Linked DNA regions of Daphnia pulex. The protein of the gene in region 2 interacts with the protein of the main gene of each other region in a pairwise test. Links are inferred from orthologs where the notes say so. Each region holds a gene or a part of one and is shown on either strand. Other genes may lie near its edges.

The links.
Region 1: the proteins of brahma-associated protein of 60 kDa-like (region 2) and akirin-2-like interact in binary tests that used the Drosophila melanogaster proteins (3 or more experiments, as listed by UniProt). The link is inferred for Daphnia pulex from reciprocal best matches to the Drosophila melanogaster genes Bap60 and akirin.

The regions. Positions count from the first base shown.
Region 1 is NC_060027.1:5,353,212-5,357,366, reverse strand, and holds akirin-2-like, read left to right. Parts: upstream 1-1,481; 5' UTR 1,482-1,786; coding exon 1,787-1,958; intron 1,959-2,022; coding exon 2,023-2,273; intron 2,274-2,554; coding exon 2,555-2,717; intron 2,718-2,783; coding exon 2,784-2,794; 3' UTR 2,795-3,475; downstream 3,476-4,155. Other genes in the region: dehydrodolichyl diphosphate synthase complex subunit nus1-like, read right to left, coding at 1-65, 127-358, 416-547, 626-989; uncharacterized protein LOC124207045, read right to left, coding at 3,732-3,998, 4,083-4,155. UniProt on the Drosophila melanogaster protein: Molecular adapter that acts as a bridge between a variety of multiprotein complexes, and which is required for embryonic development and for normal innate immune response.
Region 2 is NC_060018.1:7,203,607-7,208,084, reverse strand, and holds brahma-associated protein of 60 kDa-like, read right to left. Parts: upstream 2,878-4,478; 5' UTR 2,699-2,877; coding exon 2,615-2,698; intron 2,541-2,614; coding exon 2,323-2,540; intron 2,262-2,322; coding exon 2,099-2,261; intron 2,037-2,098; coding exon 1,551-2,036; intron 1,478-1,550; coding exon 1,332-1,477; intron 1,263-1,331; coding exon 1,139-1,262; intron 1,069-1,138; coding exon 931-1,068; intron 849-930; coding exon 693-848; 3' UTR 492-692; downstream 1-491. Other genes in the region: CCR4-NOT transcription complex subunit 9-like, read right to left, coding at 3,576-3,756, 3,823-4,425. UniProt on the Drosophila melanogaster protein: Involved in the recruitment and site-specific anchoring of the Brahma complex at specific promoter sites.

The DNA.
Region 1 (4,155 bases), on a different chromosome or scaffold from region 2:
AACCATATTCAAGCATGGTTGAAACTAAATGGTCAACGCGTATTCTCATGTGATTGGGTACACGCCTGTAAAGATAAAAGGTAAATAAAATTCTAATGATAGTAAAATTATCAATATTTTTCTTACATCATCTGAGTAAGTCTAAGATGCCATGGGGAGTACCCTAGGGTAGTGTTAGACAGTAAGCTGCCAAACTGTAACATCAACTCTGGGTCTTTGGGGTAGAATTGATTCATGGTGTTTTCCACTACACCCTGATCAATTTGACAATAATTTAATTCACCCACTATTTGCCTTGTAACTTGGGCAAACATAGGTTTGCCATCATTTTGATTCATGATGAAAACATTGATAGAATCTTTAAAGAAAAAACATAATTAGAAAAATGAATTTCACTACTATACTATCCAATTACCCAAATTGTAGAATTCTTTTGTTACAAAGCCTTTATGAACAGCAACAGATTTGGATTTCAATCCATTGCGAAAATTGGCAGCAACACCTTTCAATTTGATTTTGATTTCATCATGACAGCTAGTCAGACAACCTAAAATTTTAACAGTTATGAATCAATCAAATTTGCTAGAAAAATAAGGTACTAATTAAACAGGTAATAAATAAATACCTTCATGATCATAGAGACTGATGCAATAGACACCCATACTAACAAACCACTCAACAATAGTTATTATTCTATCAATGTTTACATCCTTCTCAGTAAACAAGCAAGCAACATGAATGGGAAGTTTTTGAAGTAGTTTCAGGTCACTTCCAATAGTTTGAAGGAGAAGACGTTCATCTTTTATATTTGCACCTAATTTCACAGTCGTGGCATTCAGCAAAACATGGCAGTCTGCTGGCCAGAGGTAAGTTCGATCCTTAACAACTGGTTTGATACGATCAATGAGTTCACTAAACGCCACATGAATGTTGTGAATATATGTGATAATAAAATGAAGAATCACATAGAGCACATTAAGAACCCCCATGACCGATAGAATTTAACTAAATTAACTAAAAAAGGGTGACCACTTGTCACATGACATGCCGGTCTGCTGGATCTTTTGGCATGTCAAACAGTTTACATCGACGCCACTTTTTTAACACATGTCAAATAAAAATAGCAACACTTGAATTAATTGCCATAAATCACACAACTAATTATTAGCTCGATTCCAGGTATAATTTTCTCTTTTTTATCAAAACAGCACCTACAAGAAAACAAAAATTATGTTTTTACGGACGCGGACTTCAAACGTTTTTTCTCACAACAAATATTCTACTGAAAATTAATTGTCATTAGAATTTTACTTACTTGTTCTAATTTGTAAATTTAGAAGTGAACTTGCGATCTTGGTCATCTGAATAATAAAATGAACTGGAAAAATGAATTTTTATCGGCTTCGGTTGTCGAATGTCGACCGTCGACGTGGCTGGAATTGCCCTTAGGGGATTGAAGCTCTACATAAAACTGGCAATGCTGTTCACCACTCTCCCTAGGGCTAAAGCTACTTTTGTAACCAATAGAAAACCAAGAGAGCTGCAGTTGTCTTAATGGACGAAGCTGGGTAAATTTCTTCGAAGAATTATCCCATTTCATCCATCAGTCTATCATATATATTACGACGAATTTGTGTTCATTGGATTTCCAATTGCATCTGTTGTGAACTAGCATCTTTTGATAGCCATTCGTTTAACGCATCCTGTGTAATTCAGCTGACTATTTTCTGTTGCTTTTCAAGCATAGCATAGCAACTTGCCTAAGAAAGAAAGTCGTTGAATCAAAATGGCTTGTGTTACTTTGAAGCGTAGTTTGGAATTTGATCCTGTGCACAGTCCCGGTGGTCGTACACCGAAACGAAGGAGATGTATGCCAATTTGCATGCCTCCAACAACTCCACCAACAAAGTGCCATGAACCTTCTCCTTTTGGCGATGTCTCTTCGAAGCTTACACCAGGTATGTGAGATTTCATAACCAAGTCTTACCAGAATGATTTCTAACTAACGTTATTCTACTTTAGAGCAAATCTTGGCGAATGTTCGTGAGGAAGTTAAACGCTTTCAACGTCGTAAACAGCTTAATTTCAGTCAAAATCAATCTCAGCACATGAGCAGCCAGCATCAAGACAGTTTGATGTGTGAGAGCCCTACCAGTCCAGCATCTCCTGCCTCATGCCCTCGATCACCTTCGCCATTGATGGCCCTGGCTTCCTCCAATAATTTTGGTCAAAGCTGCTCAACTAAAGAGAAACCTTTGTTCACGTTTAAGCAGGTAGGAACAGTTTGTGATTCTCTAGTGTTACATGTTGGTAGTGCTGGTTTTCTTTGAGCTTGATGTTTCCAGTATCATGCGTCTTTGCTAGACTCAGCGTTCTGCTGTTGTCTAGCTTGGCCTCCTCCAGCACATGCCATAAATTAAAAATAGAGTATCATAGTAACAGGATGTGTCATGTACGGCATTCTGTCCTCCAATTCCTCAAACATATTTTCAAGAGATGAAGAAACAAGTGTTTTGTAGTTGAGATTTTGTAACATTCCCTTGTTGTTTTACAGGTGAGCCTCATTTGTGAAAGAATGTTAAAAGAGCGCGAAACAGAAATTCGCGAGGAGTATGATCGAGTATTGACACTTAAACTCGCCGAGCAATACGACGCATTTGTTAAGTTTACTCAGGACCAGCTACAGAAGCGTTTCGAGGCCAATTCGGCACCATCTTGTAAGATATACTTTTATTCTTTCTAAATTGTTTCTATCCTAACTGAATTTTTTCTTCTATTTACAGATTTGTCATAAGATTCAACAGGCGCATAAACTAAAGCTTATTTTTTAATAAATTCGTTTTTTTTGTTTTTTTTTTCTAATCGCAATTCACCACGGTTAATTGCGCAAAATTTCCTCGCTCCTAACTTTACATATTCCCCACGCGCTATGCACACGGGCATGTACGAGCGCGCGTAATGTTATCATCCGCTTATTTGTATATGTAAAGAGAAGGGGAAAAAATCCGCCGTCTGATCTTCAATGTGGTTTTGTCATACATTTGAAAATTGTCGTAGCCGTGTATTTCTTTGATGCTCCAAACGTTAGCAATAGAAAAAAAACATCCGATTAGTTAAGATTATCTCGTGAGGTGATGACATCGATGTTGCCAGTATATTGATATACCTTTTAACCCTGCGATGAGAACACTTCCGAGTCTCGAAAGTATCTGGATTGATGGTAGAGGAAACGTAGCAATCGAAGTGAAATGTGGATGAGTGCCAAGTTCTATCTTATATCCTCTGCATGGTAAAGCCCAAGGGGATTATGTCCACATTTACTACCTTTCCTATTTGGTCGGATGTCTTTCTAATCTGAATGAAATAACTTGGCGTTGGTATTTGTTTCGTTCCCTTTTTCTCCTATTTTGTTTTCAATTACAAGACTTTTGATTGCGCGGATCGAGGAAAAACAATACACTTGGCTACCTCTTAAGACGTTTGTTCGTTACAGCTCTTAAGCTGTTTATTATTGTAATTTAGTTTATGCTGTTTATTTAGAAATGTGTTAGGATAATAGAAAATTACGCTATACAATTAATTCCCATCATGTTGCGTGCAACTAGCCTAATATTTTATATCCCGGTATGACAGGGGATAAAGTTTTCATAGTTATCATGTTTTATTTGATTGTCAGACAAAAGATAGCAACGGAGTTTCAGTTGAATAAACACAATGAATTGGTTGGTTCTTTATTTTACCTGTATGGTATTCAAATTAAATTGCTCTTGAATTTGTTGGCAGAGTTGGTCCAATGCCTCCTCCAATGTGGCATTATCAAGTTTTGGAACACTGGGTAGCACTTTAGGAACAAGTCTGTTATATCTACGATTCAAAAACACTGGGTCTGATGTTGGTGGTTTTCTGAAAATCTGCGATGACTCCGTTGTTAGGTGTTTGTGGCGCTTCATGTTCCGAGACTCCTGGCGTTTAAGTAGGCGATTTTTCTTCAGCGAAATCTATCCCATGCGAATGAATAGGTAGATACGACGTTTACAAATAGATTATATAATTGTGTACAAGAAATTGTACTTTTAGTTTACCTTTTCTTCCTCAATTTCGTCGTCGATGCGAAGCTTCTGATAAGTCGATACCCAGAGGTCAAGAGGATCAGGA
Region 2 (4,478 bases):
GAAAAGCGCAAATAAAGATACTTGGCGAATCAGATCAATTTATCAGTTTCCTACTACAACAATTTCTTCATCGAAGGAATATTGAACCGATCCCATGACCCCAATACTTATCGATTACTCAACAGTCCCTTGATAGTTTATAGTTTATTTGTTTTGAATGGGTCGGGCGTTCGAGCACAGTAGAAAAACCAGACTGATATTAATGCATCAATTACTACGAGTTTAGTAAAAATGTGTTCACCCATGGCATCATATGACTATTCTAAAATTATCAGATAGATCAGATGAGCCCTGCACTGCCTAAAATTTCCTTCTTAAATTTAAGCGAATTTAAGTTAAGGAAAAAGCGCTACCTAGATTTGGGACACACGGTAAAAATTGAAAAGCATAAACACAAAAACAAACAAACAAAAAAATTTAAAAAAAATAAAAATCGAGAGGTCTGAATCTCTTTACTTGCGTGGGTGGCAAACAATAGTAATGATGAAGTATTATTTTAAGACACCATGTATTTAGACCCAAATTAGGATTCACGATACTCGAAGAAAGTTAAAAGTTTCCTTGTTATTTTACCAGTCTGCAAATGCACGATAAGTAACTCGGGATTTTTCTTTTAATCTGCTGTCACTTGGTCACAGTTGGCTTACATAAACGATGTCCAACCAAAAGTTGTTTTCCTTAGTAGTAACATTCTAATTGTTACGAATGCCTAATGCCTGTTCCAATTCGGCACGCTTTTGTTGAACTTTGCTGTAAAAATATCGGCAAACGGCTTCTTGGGTCCAGCTTTGCTCGTAAAACTCTCCACGTCGCTCCTCTTCGGGATTTCCTACGATGTCAGTCATAGTCTGAAAACAAAAAACAAAACAAAAACACATCGTTTAAATTTATCCAACACATTTTTGTAAATTTTTTTATTTAGCTTTTTACCTTCAAATCCCTTGTTTGAGATAAGAGCCATTTGTTTATGAATTGCTGCGGATCTCGGGCAAATCCAAGGAAAAATTCTCGACTGATCTTCAGTTGATTAATGCTTTCAACCGTTTCGTGGATCTTGTTGTCTAAGCTCTACATCCACAAATTAAAAATTAGATATATCTTAACATGCCAAAGTAATTGACAGGAAGAAAAAAAAAACCTGAATTTCTTGCTGGCTTGCAGTAGAAAGCAAAAAATTATTCATCTGGGCTTTCAATGTATCATCAACTTCTACATCAATGTCATAGCAGGCAGTTTTTTTCTGATCTGCACTCTCCACACTGCTGTTGAAAGAAAAAAGTTATAAAATTAATATAAAATGGAAAATGGTCTCTTCTTTAATTTCTAAGTACCTTATCAAATGGTTGATAACAATTGGATCAGGGGGATGTAAGAGAGGATTCAATCTTTGTGGAATTTCAGCAAATTTCATTCTAGGACATCCAAATATTTGTTCCATATATTTGTCACAACGAATGAATTCTCTTTCTTGGTGATCCTAAGGTAGTAAGGAAGTAGAAAAAAAATTAGATTATTCTTGACACATGGCTTGTAACAGCTATGAATAATACCTGAAGTTTGTGAGTTTTAATGTACTGCCACAATGCAGAGATTACCATGGGTCTTGTTTGAGTGTGAATGCCAAGAAGACGAGCCAAACGCGAGTCGAGACGAAATTGCAGCGGTTGATAGTCGAGCAAAAGTAAGATGGTACACCGTACATTTCGATCTCCTGGTCGTTTTACTTGAAACCCATCCGTTTCTTGAGTAGTAGACGTTCGATGCCATTCCACAAGGTGGTTATCAGGCCCATACAAGTCTTTATCAAGCTCAATGACGAGAGATTTGAAAAACGAAGAAAACTTCCGTTTGACTTTATTGGGATCTGATTTGGCAGCATCATCCAGAAGTCGTCCTTCTACTCTCAGTTCCCAAGAAGCAACCCCGCTTCCTCCGCCAACATCTTCAGTATTATCCATTTCTCTAGCAGGGTAGAATGTGTTTGAGATGAAAATACGCAATTTTCGTTTTTGTTTCATGGGTCTTTTCAAAGCTTCCTGAAACGAAAGTATTAAAAGTATTACTGACACGTGTAAAAGAAATCTTTACTTCAACTTACTTGAATATCGAGACGTTTTCTCATAATAGTAGCATCCAATTTTCTTTCAAATGCCAATAAATCCATGTAAGCTTGAGATTCAGGAACCAAATCTCGAACTTTCTGTGGAAGAATCTTGTCTGCAAGCTTTTTCTTTTTCTTTGCACTGTTAGGGCCATATTCACTACATATAAACCATTAATACTTGGATGTTAAGGACACAAAGAAATAATCTGATTTCTTACAGTTTTCCTGTTTGATTAGGGGCTCTCATGTCACCAGGTCTCTTCCCTGGTCCCAAAGCTTGGGGGCTCATTCCGGGACCACCAGGCCTTACAGGCTGTCCACTATAGGAATTTGGAGGTGTTGGATTCCCAATCATGTTTGGTCTTTGACCCATCATTGTAGGACTTGCTGAAGAAGTAGAGTTTGGAGGGTTTTGAATTTGATTGAATGCCGGGCGCTATGATAAAATGAAAGTTGAATGACATCAAGGTTTGGTACTGTAAAATTGAAGACAACAGAAACTATACTTACAGGGTAATTTGGAGAGTTGAACCGCATAGAACTCCCCGGAGAAGGAAAGGGAGGTCTTCCTGTAGCTGCGTTCGTATTTTGCATTTTATAAAACCGTCAAAACGGCGATCGACACAATACACACCAAAAATTAAGATATACTTTTTCTTCGATTATTTACTTATTTAATTCTTAGTGTTCTTTTGCTTTTTTACGGATGAGATGAACGGTCGAACCTGCCGTTTGAAGCTTTGATTCGCCATCTGTTGACCGCGTCTATAAACCTCCCTCAACACCACGTAGCGGCCAAAAAGCATACAATTCAAGGTTTTTTTGTTTCTATAAAATGTACAAAAATTCAGCTTGGAATCTCTTGGAATGTTCAGAGGGTGCGGGTTGCGCGAACGAACTTGATATTATTTATTTTCCATTCCCATTATTCATTAATTTTCAGACCTAATTTCTTATTTTACGGTAGTGCACTCAGATAATATTCGATTATTTGCAAAAATACAAAATAGTAAGTAATTTTTCAATACTTGGACCAATTAAAAATCTAAGACTTAAAAGTTAGGACCAAAAGCAATCGTGGCAGTTAACAAAAACATTTTTATCGTCACAAAATATATTGCAACAGAGATAGATAGCTTGAACCGTCTTGACACTACACCCGTGGCCCCGTGCTACATCTTTCGCCTTGTCTTTCGCGTTAGTAAATTGAACCTAATTTTTACATAACACTTCAAATTTATATTGCGTATTGATACTGAACAAAAATGAAATCACCGTTTCGTGTATCCTCAAATGAACATCTTATAAGTAAATTTAACATTCTCTGAAACACGTGTTTATAATTTATATAATAAGTCAGCAGAAACCGCAAAATTAGTTGCAATAAAAAACAATACAGCAAGTTTGTATTATAATTCTGATCGATTTTTCGCTGAAGACAAGACAAGAGCATTCATTCTTTTTTAACATTTCATGGTTGAGTCATTGAGGGCAAACCGGTGATTCGGGGATCTACCATTCCATTAGTAGTTTCCAAATTTTTTAGAAGTTGCGCCATCCACTGTTTAGTTGACTTATCATCTTTAAGACATGTTGAGAAAGTGCTATCACGCAACTGATCAGGTAGGCATTGTCGCAACGCTTCACGAGCCCTAGAAAATATAGTCGAATTTTATATCAATACGAAAATTCCTTTTTGGTTTTTGCAAGTCCCTTACCTTGGATTGTCAGAAAGACGAAGATAACATCGGACAACGTGCTTCAAAAGACGAGCTGACTGTTCTTTGGCCAATGATAAAACCATTTTACCAAGTATCATTGCAACATGAGAAAAGCGCTCATAAGTTTGACAAATGTAAGCCAGACCAGTTTCATCCAAGAGAATTTTTTGAAGTATGAAAGTTGCAACAGTCTTGGACAGTTCAGATCCAGTTTCCATTATCCTCAAACACAATGGAATTATCTCTGTTGTAAGAAGAAAGTTGATAACCTCCTGTTCATCAGTTTTAACTAGAGCACCAATGACTCCCAAACTGGTCAAACGAAGATATTCAAATGGCCGTGTCTTGCTCACAGTGTGCAAAAAAGGGTAGAGGAATAATGGGATGTGAGCTTGCAGAAAAGCAGATCTGGTTTCTTGGTGTGAAGCAACACATTGCAGAAGAGCAAGAGCATTGCAAACTCTGTTGGACTGTTGAGCAGTAAGAGTAGGTGGACTTACTGCTGGATAAATGCTTACAATATCTTGCAATAGAGCTGCTATAGTTCCAAATGAATGCCACAGCATAGGAGCCAAATCAGGAACAACTTCTCTCTTTTTACTGCATGGAAGAAATGAAAAATTAATAAAAAGCTAGTGGAAGACATCATGTCT